Linked DNA regions of Arabidopsis thaliana. The protein of the gene in region 2 interacts with the protein of the main gene of each other region in a pairwise test. Each region holds a gene or a part of one and is shown on either strand. Other genes may lie near its edges.

Evidence for each region. The genes of interacting proteins can lie anywhere in the genome.
Region 1: the proteins of MGP1 (region 2) and AT2G19080 interact in a two-hybrid assay, tested with the Arabidopsis thaliana proteins (one study listed by BioGRID).

What each region holds. Positions count from the first base shown.
Region 1 is NC_003071.7:8,260,726-8,265,695, reverse strand, and holds AT2G19080 (metaxin-like protein), read right to left. Parts: upstream 2,997-4,970; 5' UTR 2,879-2,996; coding exon 2,719-2,878; intron 2,165-2,718; coding exon 1,830-2,164; intron 1,728-1,829; coding exon 1,651-1,727; intron 1,563-1,650; coding exon 1,502-1,562; coding exon of another isoform or gene 1,424-1,501; exon of another isoform or gene 1,392-1,423; coding exon 1,247-1,391; intron 1,120-1,246; coding exon 950-1,119; 3' UTR 558-949; downstream 1-557. Other genes in the region: AT2G19090 (DUF630 family protein (DUF630 and DUF632)), read left to right, coding at 1-518; SHT (spermidine hydroxycinnamoyl transferase), read left to right, coding at 3,738-4,701. UniProt on the Arabidopsis thaliana protein: Involved in transport of proteins into the mitochondrion.
Region 2 is NC_003071.7:9,319,686-9,324,576, forward strand, and holds MGP1 (MALE GAMETOPHYTE DEFECTIVE 1), read right to left. Parts: upstream 3,183-4,891; 5' UTR 2,934-3,182; coding exon 2,895-2,933; intron 2,518-2,894; coding exon 2,424-2,517; intron 2,036-2,423; coding exon 1,891-2,035; intron 1,700-1,890; coding exon 1,589-1,699; intron 1,330-1,588; coding exon 1,183-1,329; intron 1,054-1,182; coding exon 931-1,053; coding exon of another isoform or gene 927-930; intron 835-926; coding exon 771-834; 3' UTR 505-770; downstream 1-504. Other genes in the region: AT2G21860 (violaxanthin de-epoxidase-like protein), read right to left, coding at 12-305. UniProt on the Arabidopsis thaliana protein: Mitochondrial membrane ATP synthase (F(1)F(0) ATP synthase or Complex V) produces ATP from ADP in the presence of a proton gradient across the membrane which is generated by electron transport complexes of the respiratory chain.

The DNA of each region.
Region 1 (4,970 bases), 1.1 Mb from region 2:
GTTTTGAATTCTGGATCACCTCTCAGAGATCCTACATGAAAGCATTATCTGGTTGGCTTCTAAGATGTTTCAGATGTGATCCTGACCCCGAAAAAGTTAGATTATCCTCATGTCTTCACCCGATATACCGAGTCTGCATTCAATGGTCAAGGTTGCTTAACAGCTTGAATGAAAAACCAGTTTTGGACAAACTTGAGTTCTTTGCCTCAGGGATGGGTTCAATATATGCAAGGCAAGTTAGGGAAGATCCAAACTGGAGTGGAAGCGGGTCAAGGAGATACTCCGGGTCAGAAAGCATGGAGCTTGTAGTGGCTGATAAGGGAGAAGAAGATGTTGTGATGACTGCTGAGAAACTTGCAGAGGTTGCTGTGAAGGTTCTCTGCCATGGAATGTCTGTTGCAGTTAGTTCACTAGCTGAGTTTTCCATCAACTCGGCCGATGAACACTCGAAGCTTGTTAGCCAACCAGCAGACGATGCGTCGGAGCAGCAGCCCCCGGATGTAAATTTCAATTCCTAGTACTTGTTATTAATTTTGTTTGGTTTTAGAGAGTTTAGAATTAGGTAGGTTTTTGGCATCATCTTTTGCTATCAGAAGATAGTTTCTTAGATGGATGAGATTTGTATTATTTAGTAAGACAAATAGAGTTAGTTCAGTTGATTCTGAGGATGTGTACCAAGAGTCTTCTAATGTTCCTCGGTATTTTATCCGGTGAATCGGTTCCCATGATGTGCCTTAAAAACCAATGAAATTTATATAAAAGCCAAAAGCTCTCCTTCAGAACGAAAAGTCGAAAACCATTATAATGTGACTAAATCTCACATCTGTATCCTCTCCATAACTAAGAGTTCAAGAAGAAAAAAGCGTAGAGATTACTGGTTATGTTTTTATCTTAGTCTCAGAGAGTTCGCCTGAGAGTTACCGGTCCATTTAATAAGAAAAGCTTTAGTTTAGTCATCTTCATCTTCATACTCCAGTTCATCAGAACTACCTCCTCCCATCACTGATACGTAAATGACGACAGCTAGAAACTGAGCAGCTAGAAAGAACCTTGCTCTTTTCTTAAATTTTTTCTCCTCTTCGGTCTTTTCTACCTTTGGTTTGCTCTTTGGCTTCGAACCTGAACAAAAGATGAAATTCACTTCCTTCACAGGCTTAAACATATCCAATGAATGTTGCATATATGACAGATATATAATATGATGAAATATATATGATATGGACGTTGAAGGTTAGATGTGTCTTACTCTTTCTTGGAAATGAGGAAGGGAATGAGTGAAGTGGAGGTGAAGGAGATGAAGAAGAGGCTTCAAGGAACTCTGACTTAAGTTTCTCAGCATATCGCACAAGATTACTATGTTCCAGAAGTTTGCACCGAAGCACTGATGTAACCTGATCATGCACCATTAAGAAAACTACTTCATCTAAATAGTTCTAAGGCTAAATTCAACCTGATAAACCCATAACTGAGAAATATATTGGTGAAATTTAAAGCTGCTCACTGGTAACGCTTGGATTATAAAAAGTATGTGCGAGAGTAAGAAAGCATCCAAACTCGATGGCCTGTGGGAAGAGAATAATATAAACATTGTCAATCTTTTACAAAAAGGCTTAAGGGAAAGAATCCAGTTCCGGAATGTGATTGCAATACCTGTCTTCAAAGAGAAACTTCTGCTCACCTAACCTAGTCGACAAAGCTTCATATGCCTCACTTGCTCTCTTGTATATCTGTTCACATTTAAGACTATGAACTTTAATAACTAGTTCAAATGCTCACAAATATAAACCACAGGTCTTCTAAAGTAACAACAAAACTTAAACAAACCCGACCTGTTTTTCTCTTTGCTCTGCGTTCTCTTTGGTGATTCCTAAACGGTTCTTTGCCAAGTATGTCTGCTTATAAAACAGGACCTTGCTGATCACCCAAGGAAGATCTGAATAGTAGATTTTCGATGTAGATATCCCCTCGGTACCAACCCATATCTCATAGGTAAGCGCTTCTTCTAGCCAAGACACAATAAGAGCCTTCAAAGATAAATAATCCGAAAGAGACTGTAGCTGAGAGTCCAGATTAACAATCCCATCTTTCTTCAGTTTTTCAATTACTCCTCCATCTTCATTGTTATATGCAACATATGTATCACTTTCAAAGTACGGCAGTTCATCTATATTAAAAACAAATGATTAACATTGTCAATACACAAGCTTATAAATATTGAATGCACAAATTTGTAAATCCGTGAACAAAGGATTACGAAGTGTCTAGAGATATTATCAAACATAACATAGAAATTCTGAAGATATTGTTAATATACAAACTCAATAGCTAAATCAAACAACTAATTTCTTCTGAACAAGTATGAAACATCATCATTCTCTTCGAATTAACAATTACGATAACGAGGAATTCAACCAAAGCTATAACAAGAAATTATGATGAACACTTCCTATCCAGAAAAATTCACCAATGCATATATACACCTCAAAATTGAATTACTATTGCCTAAAAACCCTATCTAAACTCTGATTAACCTAAGAGCAGGATCTTAATAGTACGAATTCGAATCCAGAACTCAAAATTATCTTGTCTAGGATTCGAATCTCAATTCAAGCTAATAGAATTAACAATGTTCACTTCCAACAGATACACATCACGCAACCAAAACCTTAATCTAACAACAACCAAAATACGAAGCGAGGAATCAAAACAGAAGCAAACCTGAATCAGGGAAGGTTGAATTGAACGCAAGTTCAAAAGGTAGCTGGGCTAATTTCAGGTATATATAAGCAGGAAGACAATTAGGGCAAGCTGTTGGGAGATCGAAGGAAGGCTTCCTTGCCACCAAAGTATAAACATTCGTCTCTTGATCGCCTTCCATTATAGTGACTCGTATGTGTGAGAGCTCTGGTCAAAAGAAGAAGAAGTACTCAAGTAAGTTCGATCGTCGATAGAGAGAGATGGGGCGAGAAGAGAAGATCCAGTCGAGTCCGGGTCTGGGTTAAGGTTTAGTCGGTCGGGTTTAAAACTAGGGTTTATTAATACGATAACTCATTTTGGGCTTTAAAAGGCCCACAAATTACCCATTAAGACAAAACTACTGGAGGAGGAGACTCGGAGAAAGTGGAATTGTTTTCTCCTTTTTGTTAGTTTGTAAAAACTAAAATTACTGTGTAACAGTGTAAAATACATCATCCACATTTTTTTTCTTCAAGATGACTTTATAAAAATAAACTCAACTTAAATTCAGAAGATATAATCAAAACTGGCGATGTGGGCTTTTGAATTTAATGCTATGAAGTTAGTATTTTGGATTTACCATTTCTTTTTAGAGTTTATGATATATACTTAAGGATTTAGTTTAGAATTTATACTTTGGAATATACTTGCATAAAAAAGTATAACACATTCCCTAATAGTGATATGAATTTTATGTTATATGTTCTTACCTCGTTTTTTTTCATTTTTTCGTGGAAATATATATTCATCCACAATGTGAACAAAATAGAGAAGAAGGGTAATACGCGTGATCATATACAACCAACAAAACTAAACCTTATTCTCACTTCCACTAATTAAGCTGCTTCGAAGGAAACAAACTAAACCACGAGAAAAACATTTTTGAATTTTGACTAACAGCAAGAAAAATTCGTTGAATCCATATGATTCTGTGTACTATATAAACATTACTTTAGCACGAACTTCAAAAAGAGAAGAGAAAAAGAAAGGGGGTTTGTGTTATGGCTCCCATAACTTTTAGAAAATCTTACACTATAGTACCGGCCGAACCAACGTGGAGCGGTAGGTTTCCCTTAGCCGAGTGGGATCAAGTTGGTACAATTACTCACATTCCCACCCTTTACTTTTACGACAAGCCATCTGAATCTTTCCAAGGCAATGTAGTCGAAATCCTAAAAACCTCGTTGAGCCGTGTGCTAGTCCATTTTTACCCTATGGCTGGCCGTCTCAGATGGCTCCCTCGGGGACGGTTCGAGCTCAATTGTAACGCCGAGGGAGTGGAATTCATTGAAGCGGAATCTGAGGGGAAGCTTTCGGATTTCAAAGACTTCTCTCCTACGCCGGAATTCGAGAATCTTATGCCGCAAGTAAACTATAAAAACCCTATCGAAACGATTCCTCTATTTTTAGCTCAGGTAACCAAATTCAAATGCGGTGGAATAAGCCTTAGCGTCAACGTTTCCCACGCGATCGTAGATGGCCAAAGCGCGCTTCACTTAATATCGGAATGGGGAAGACTCGCGCGCGGTGAACCGTTAGAAACCGTTCCATTTCTAGACCGGAAAATCCTCTGGGCTGGTGAACCGCTCCCACCGTTTGTGTCGCCCCCAAAGTTCGACCACAAAGAGTTTGATCAGCCACCGTTTTTGATCGGAGAAACGGACAATGTAGAAGAGAGAAAGAAGAAAACGATTGTGGTGATGCTACCACTGAGCACATCTCAGCTGCAGAAGCTACGAAGTAAAGCCAACGGAAGCAAACACTCTGACCCGGCGAAAGGGTTTACAAGGTACGAGACCGTCACCGGACACGTGTGGAGGTGCGCGTGTAAAGCACGTGGCCACTCTCCGGAGCAACCAACGGCTCTAGGAATCTGTATAGATACTCGTAGTCGGATGGAGCCACCTCTGCCACGCGGCTACTTCGGCAATGCTACTCTTGACGTGGTCGCAGCAAGCACCTCAGGTACGTGTTTTTTCTTTCTTTTCTATTACTATCCATAGAAATTTTGTTTGTTTTGTGAATTTGAATACACTTCTTCAAAATTTAATTTAGTCCTCTAAACAAAAATTATGATTTTGTTCATTACTTTTATATTCCAATTATATATATTATTTATTTATTAATTTTTTTCAATTCAAAAATATTACAAAATATTGTAATTTGTTTATCTTAGAATTCGTGTCAAAAGACCGTCAAAACGACTCTTTTATGAAACTGATGGATTATCATTA
Region 2 (4,891 bases):
CAATTACTTACAGTGTGGAGCATAACTTCTTCCCAAGAGGTGGATTTGAGTGGGCTTACTTCTCCTTTTCCGACGAGAGCAATCAATTTCACCGGAGGCTCAGGCTTCTCTATTTTCGTACTCTTCTCCGTCTCCAAAACGCGAACAACAGTGGTTCGTCCCCGTCTGGAGAACGATGCTTCATCTAAGGAAGGATGAAACTTCCGGATGAAATTAACCGGTTGATGAGTGACGAACCGGTTAAGGAAGGGAGAACACTCTCTCGTTCCAGGAAGAGAAGGAGCTTTGAGAGGAATCGCCGCCATGGCGAAGAAAACAGTTGTTAACGTCTCTCAGACAAACCCATTATAATTGTTCACAGACAAGCCACGTGTTCGATATGATTGGTTTAATTCATCTAGAATGTATGATACTCCAGATCCCATTTCGGTTAGATTTGGTTCGAATTTGGTCTACTAAATACAAAACTATAATAGTTTCTCGGGTTGATTTTGCTTGCCACGCTTTTGTTTCGAATTAACATCACAACTTTTATTAATTATCTCAAATTCCAGTGATCACCATTATCAAAAAAACATGAAACAACGTTTGTGTCTAAGAATCTCAAGCGTAATAACCACAGAGAGAGTTAGACTCAAATCCAGGTGAGAGACCTTATTGAACGCCAAACCAAAACAGCAGCAAGGGAACGATCTTCTCTTTCAAAGACAATCAAGTGAGAGATCTTTGCCTTTTCTTACAACAAATCAAATGTTTCTAAGGATCAAACCTTAGATGAAGTTACGGATGTCTAGAGACTTCACGTCCGGCATTTCCTCATCCTGGAATTCCTCCCTGAATAATCCGCAAGTTCCATCGCGTTATGACATGAGTAAGATCAATGATTGATAAATTGAGAAACAAAAAAAGTGAAAAGAAAACAAAACTCACTTCTTTTTCTGAGATTCCATAGCTTCAACAGCATCACTCTTCAGCTCATCCAACTGTGCTTTGGCCATGCTGAGCTCCAAATTTTCTTCGTACTTAGGAAGATCTTCTTTCCTAATCCCAAGCCTGTTTAGATTAATGAGACGCAAACATGCAATTCAATTAGCTATCAATATGTAAATCGATATACATATAAGTAGTAATGAGAATCATTTGTTCGTGTTTTGTATGGATGGTTGAAGAATGATGACGCACTTTTTGTTGCCTTTCTCAAACTCTGCAACCAAAAGATCCATTCCTTTCTTGTCACTTCTCAGGAGAGGCTTCTTTATGTCCTTCTCGACTTTCTCCAAAGCCTCGAACATCATGGCCTCAGCACCAAGCTCATCAGTAAGCCCCCTCCTGCAAGATATATCACAAGTGGGAGTATAACTAAAGACTGCTTCCAACAATTCTTCATATGTTGCAAACAATAGCAGATCAAAGAGGGAGATGAAAATATAGATAGTTAAATGCAGTCTTCAGATAACTGCTTAACGATCACATTCAAGATCTTACAGGAAGATAATTCCAATATTATAATAACATAAGAAGAGCAAGTTTACGGGTGAGGGAAAACTATCCTAAGATAACTGAAAATTATTCAAAGTCTAACAGCTACCTGGTGCGAATTTCCTGCAACTTCAACAAGTATGCACGAGCATCTGGAATGTCTTGAGTCTCAGTATCAATGTCATGTTTAATGCGCTGAGATTCTGAGAACATGTCTGCCCTGCATACCAAAAAAACGGATGACAAGCAACCAAATTAACAAGGTTAAAATAGCAGCATTGACACATATATTTAACTCGTTTCAGAAAAGTCGAAAAGTAAAACCAATCCCAACAAACAGAAATAGAGATCACGACATACAACATTCAAGCTAAATAACAAACACCTACAAAAGAGTAACAAGAGGCCTACTTTTGCCTGATGGTCTTCATTACATTTGCATACTGTTTTACGGCAGCTGGGTCCTCTGGATCAAGGGTGATCTTTTCCTTACGGAGAATATCAACAGCAGCCTGGAATTTGTTCTTGATATCAAAAAAGACACCCTTCAACATCTCTGTCAAAAAGTGTAAAACTTGAGTCAATAATAGTAAACAGCAATGCTTCTTCACTCTAAACACATAGTACAGATTTCAGCAACATATTAAACATAATCCATCATAAACTGGATACATATAAAACTCAACAAAAGAAGTAAGCAGAACAACAGTCCTAGCAATCATGGCCTGGGTTTCACAAGATTATATTACATTGACCAATATAGTTTTTCTACACATTCGACATAAAAAAAGTGACTTGACATATTCTTAAGTAGTCACGATGTTAAACTCAAAAGCACGAAGGGCTAAAGAAAGGAAAGCAACTGTTTTCAACTAGGTGTGTTATTGAAAACGTAATGTTCTATGCATAATAACAAATCCGAAGTATGAGTTTTGGTCACTAACCATCTCCTTTAAAGGTTGGACGAGCAGCTTCCTTAGCAAAAGCTCGGACTGGAATAGCATGTTGCTGCTGCAAAATGACCAGACCCCCCTGTAGCTGCGTAATGAGAGTAAGATAATAAAAATTATGGATCAATAACAAGTTTTGATGAAAAGAATACTTCTTGCAAATCATCTTATCATTTCGAACTGTATTAGAAATCAACAACGAGTAGAAAAAAACCCCATCAAATTTATCATTTGATTTCAACAAACTCTCCGATTGAGATCGTACGAAAGATAACAAAAATTCGACTACGATATTGAAATGGCACACCCTAAGATGTGATTCAGTGATAGAGATACAGTAAAATCGATAATCTCACTCTAACCATCGCATCGAAACACATAAAACCCAGAAATGGGAGGAAAACAAAAGGAATCAAACAGAACGAAGAAGAGAATCAGAAAAATCGAGGGAGAGAGAGTATATACCTGCTTAGATCTGGAGAGAAAACGAGAAGCGTACGCCATTTCCTTGATCGAATCGAGTCGCTGTGGAGTTGACGAAATTTAGGGTTTGTGGTGTCTTGTTGAGATCCTATCTGAGCGACGGAGCAGAACAAGTAACAGGCAAAGGCAGTAATTGTACACCGTTGATAGTAATCAACGGCTGAGATTTATTCCCAATACGGAATATCTGAAAATAATTTGATTTTATTTTTTACAATTACACTATGAAAATCTTAATTTTTCTATTTTTTTTTTTTAATACCTTTTTTCGATCGGTCAACTTTTCCATAATGGAAGTAACTAAGTGATTACAAGGAGAGTTCTTGATAAGTGTCAGCCAAGACATTGTCATTTCTACTAATAAGTTGAACCTATAGGAAATATTTGCCAAATGAGACAAGGTGAGGGATTACTCCAATGTCTAGTAGCGGTTTCAAGGTATTTATAAATAGTTGATAAATCTCCACAGAATATAACATGATCATCGAGGTCGGTCAAAACTATATGGATACCTAAAGCAAAAATAATTTGGTATATTAACATAAATAGTCAAAAAAAATTATAAGTAATAGATTCAACAATAATTAGAATCAAAACTGTGACTGATCATTGAAAACTGAAAAGGTTCGGACAGACCATTAGACCATTTATCTAAAGCTCTTATTATTACTGTTACCTAAAGCTTTTGTTTCATGGACTTTAGTCACGGACCGGTTTTGATGATCAAATTGCAACCATTTTAGTTGGAGGGTTGCTTCCTTTAAGACTAGAGCCTCTCCTTCTGCGACTGAAAAGGTGGTTCTTTTAACGTTTATCCTTTGAGAGCATACATCTTTTCTCCCATTTTTTGGTTTTCAATATGTTGAATCTATTCAATAGTGTTTAATCCACATATGATTTTTTACTTTTTCAACACTCTCATCGTATGTGTTCAACAGTTGAATAATTTATTCAACACTCTCATTACATATAGTCTTATTATCAAACTCATAGTTTGACATATCTCAGTCATCATAACTCACAACTCAGACATAGCAACCCTCAAACTCATGCTTGCGCATATTTTGGTCGTCGACCTTTAACCCCCCCCCCCCCCCCCCCAATTCCATCACTTATCTTCTCCTTATTCCCATGATCATGCAATATACATTACTAGCCATTTCGTTCCACCATTGCAGTCCATGTACTTTCGCCATTTTTACAGTTTAACAAATCATGTATTACTTTCCCGATTGAATATTTTTCTATAAACATTTGTCCCACTACATATGCCTCCTGATGATCTCCAAGTACTCTCTCTAGAAGAATCACATTCACTCATCTTTCCAAGCTCATCATATGTCTAATTGGGAATTGCTTCCGGACTTGGTACAAAACTGACCATGCTAGCTAGTTCATTAAGAATTTGTCCATGTATAAAGAACTTGATAGGAGGAATCAAGCCCATCAAGACAATACCATGAGTTAAGTTCGGTTTCCAACGTTTAAACCTACTTTTGCTACACCAAAAATTATGCAATCAACTTGTACATAATTGATTATCGGTGGATAAAAATAAGATATACATGTTGCAAAAAAAAAAAAGTAAGATTTTACTCTAAATGGATCAGAGAAACCACATCTTCAAAAGACTTGATAGAAATCCCATACTGAGAATGTTCAGTGAATGTCAATTGATTTTTGAGTCGGAAATTCACATAACGCTTAACAAAATTTACGTTTGAAAATGAGTTGCAACTAAAAGCGAAAGAGCAAAGTTGGTTGTTGTTTTTTGGTTTAAAAACAATGTTCACAAGAGATAACAAGAGTCTCTTTTATGACATCCAATACAAATATTATTGGTTAGAGTCAATAAAAAAGAGCACTAAGGAGAAATACAAAATTGGTTGAGCCTATAAAAGGGAGCATTAAGGAGAAGTAGTTGCGCAGAGGCGGAAAGACTCTACACCAAAATGTGTTTGTTTTTTAATGCCACACCT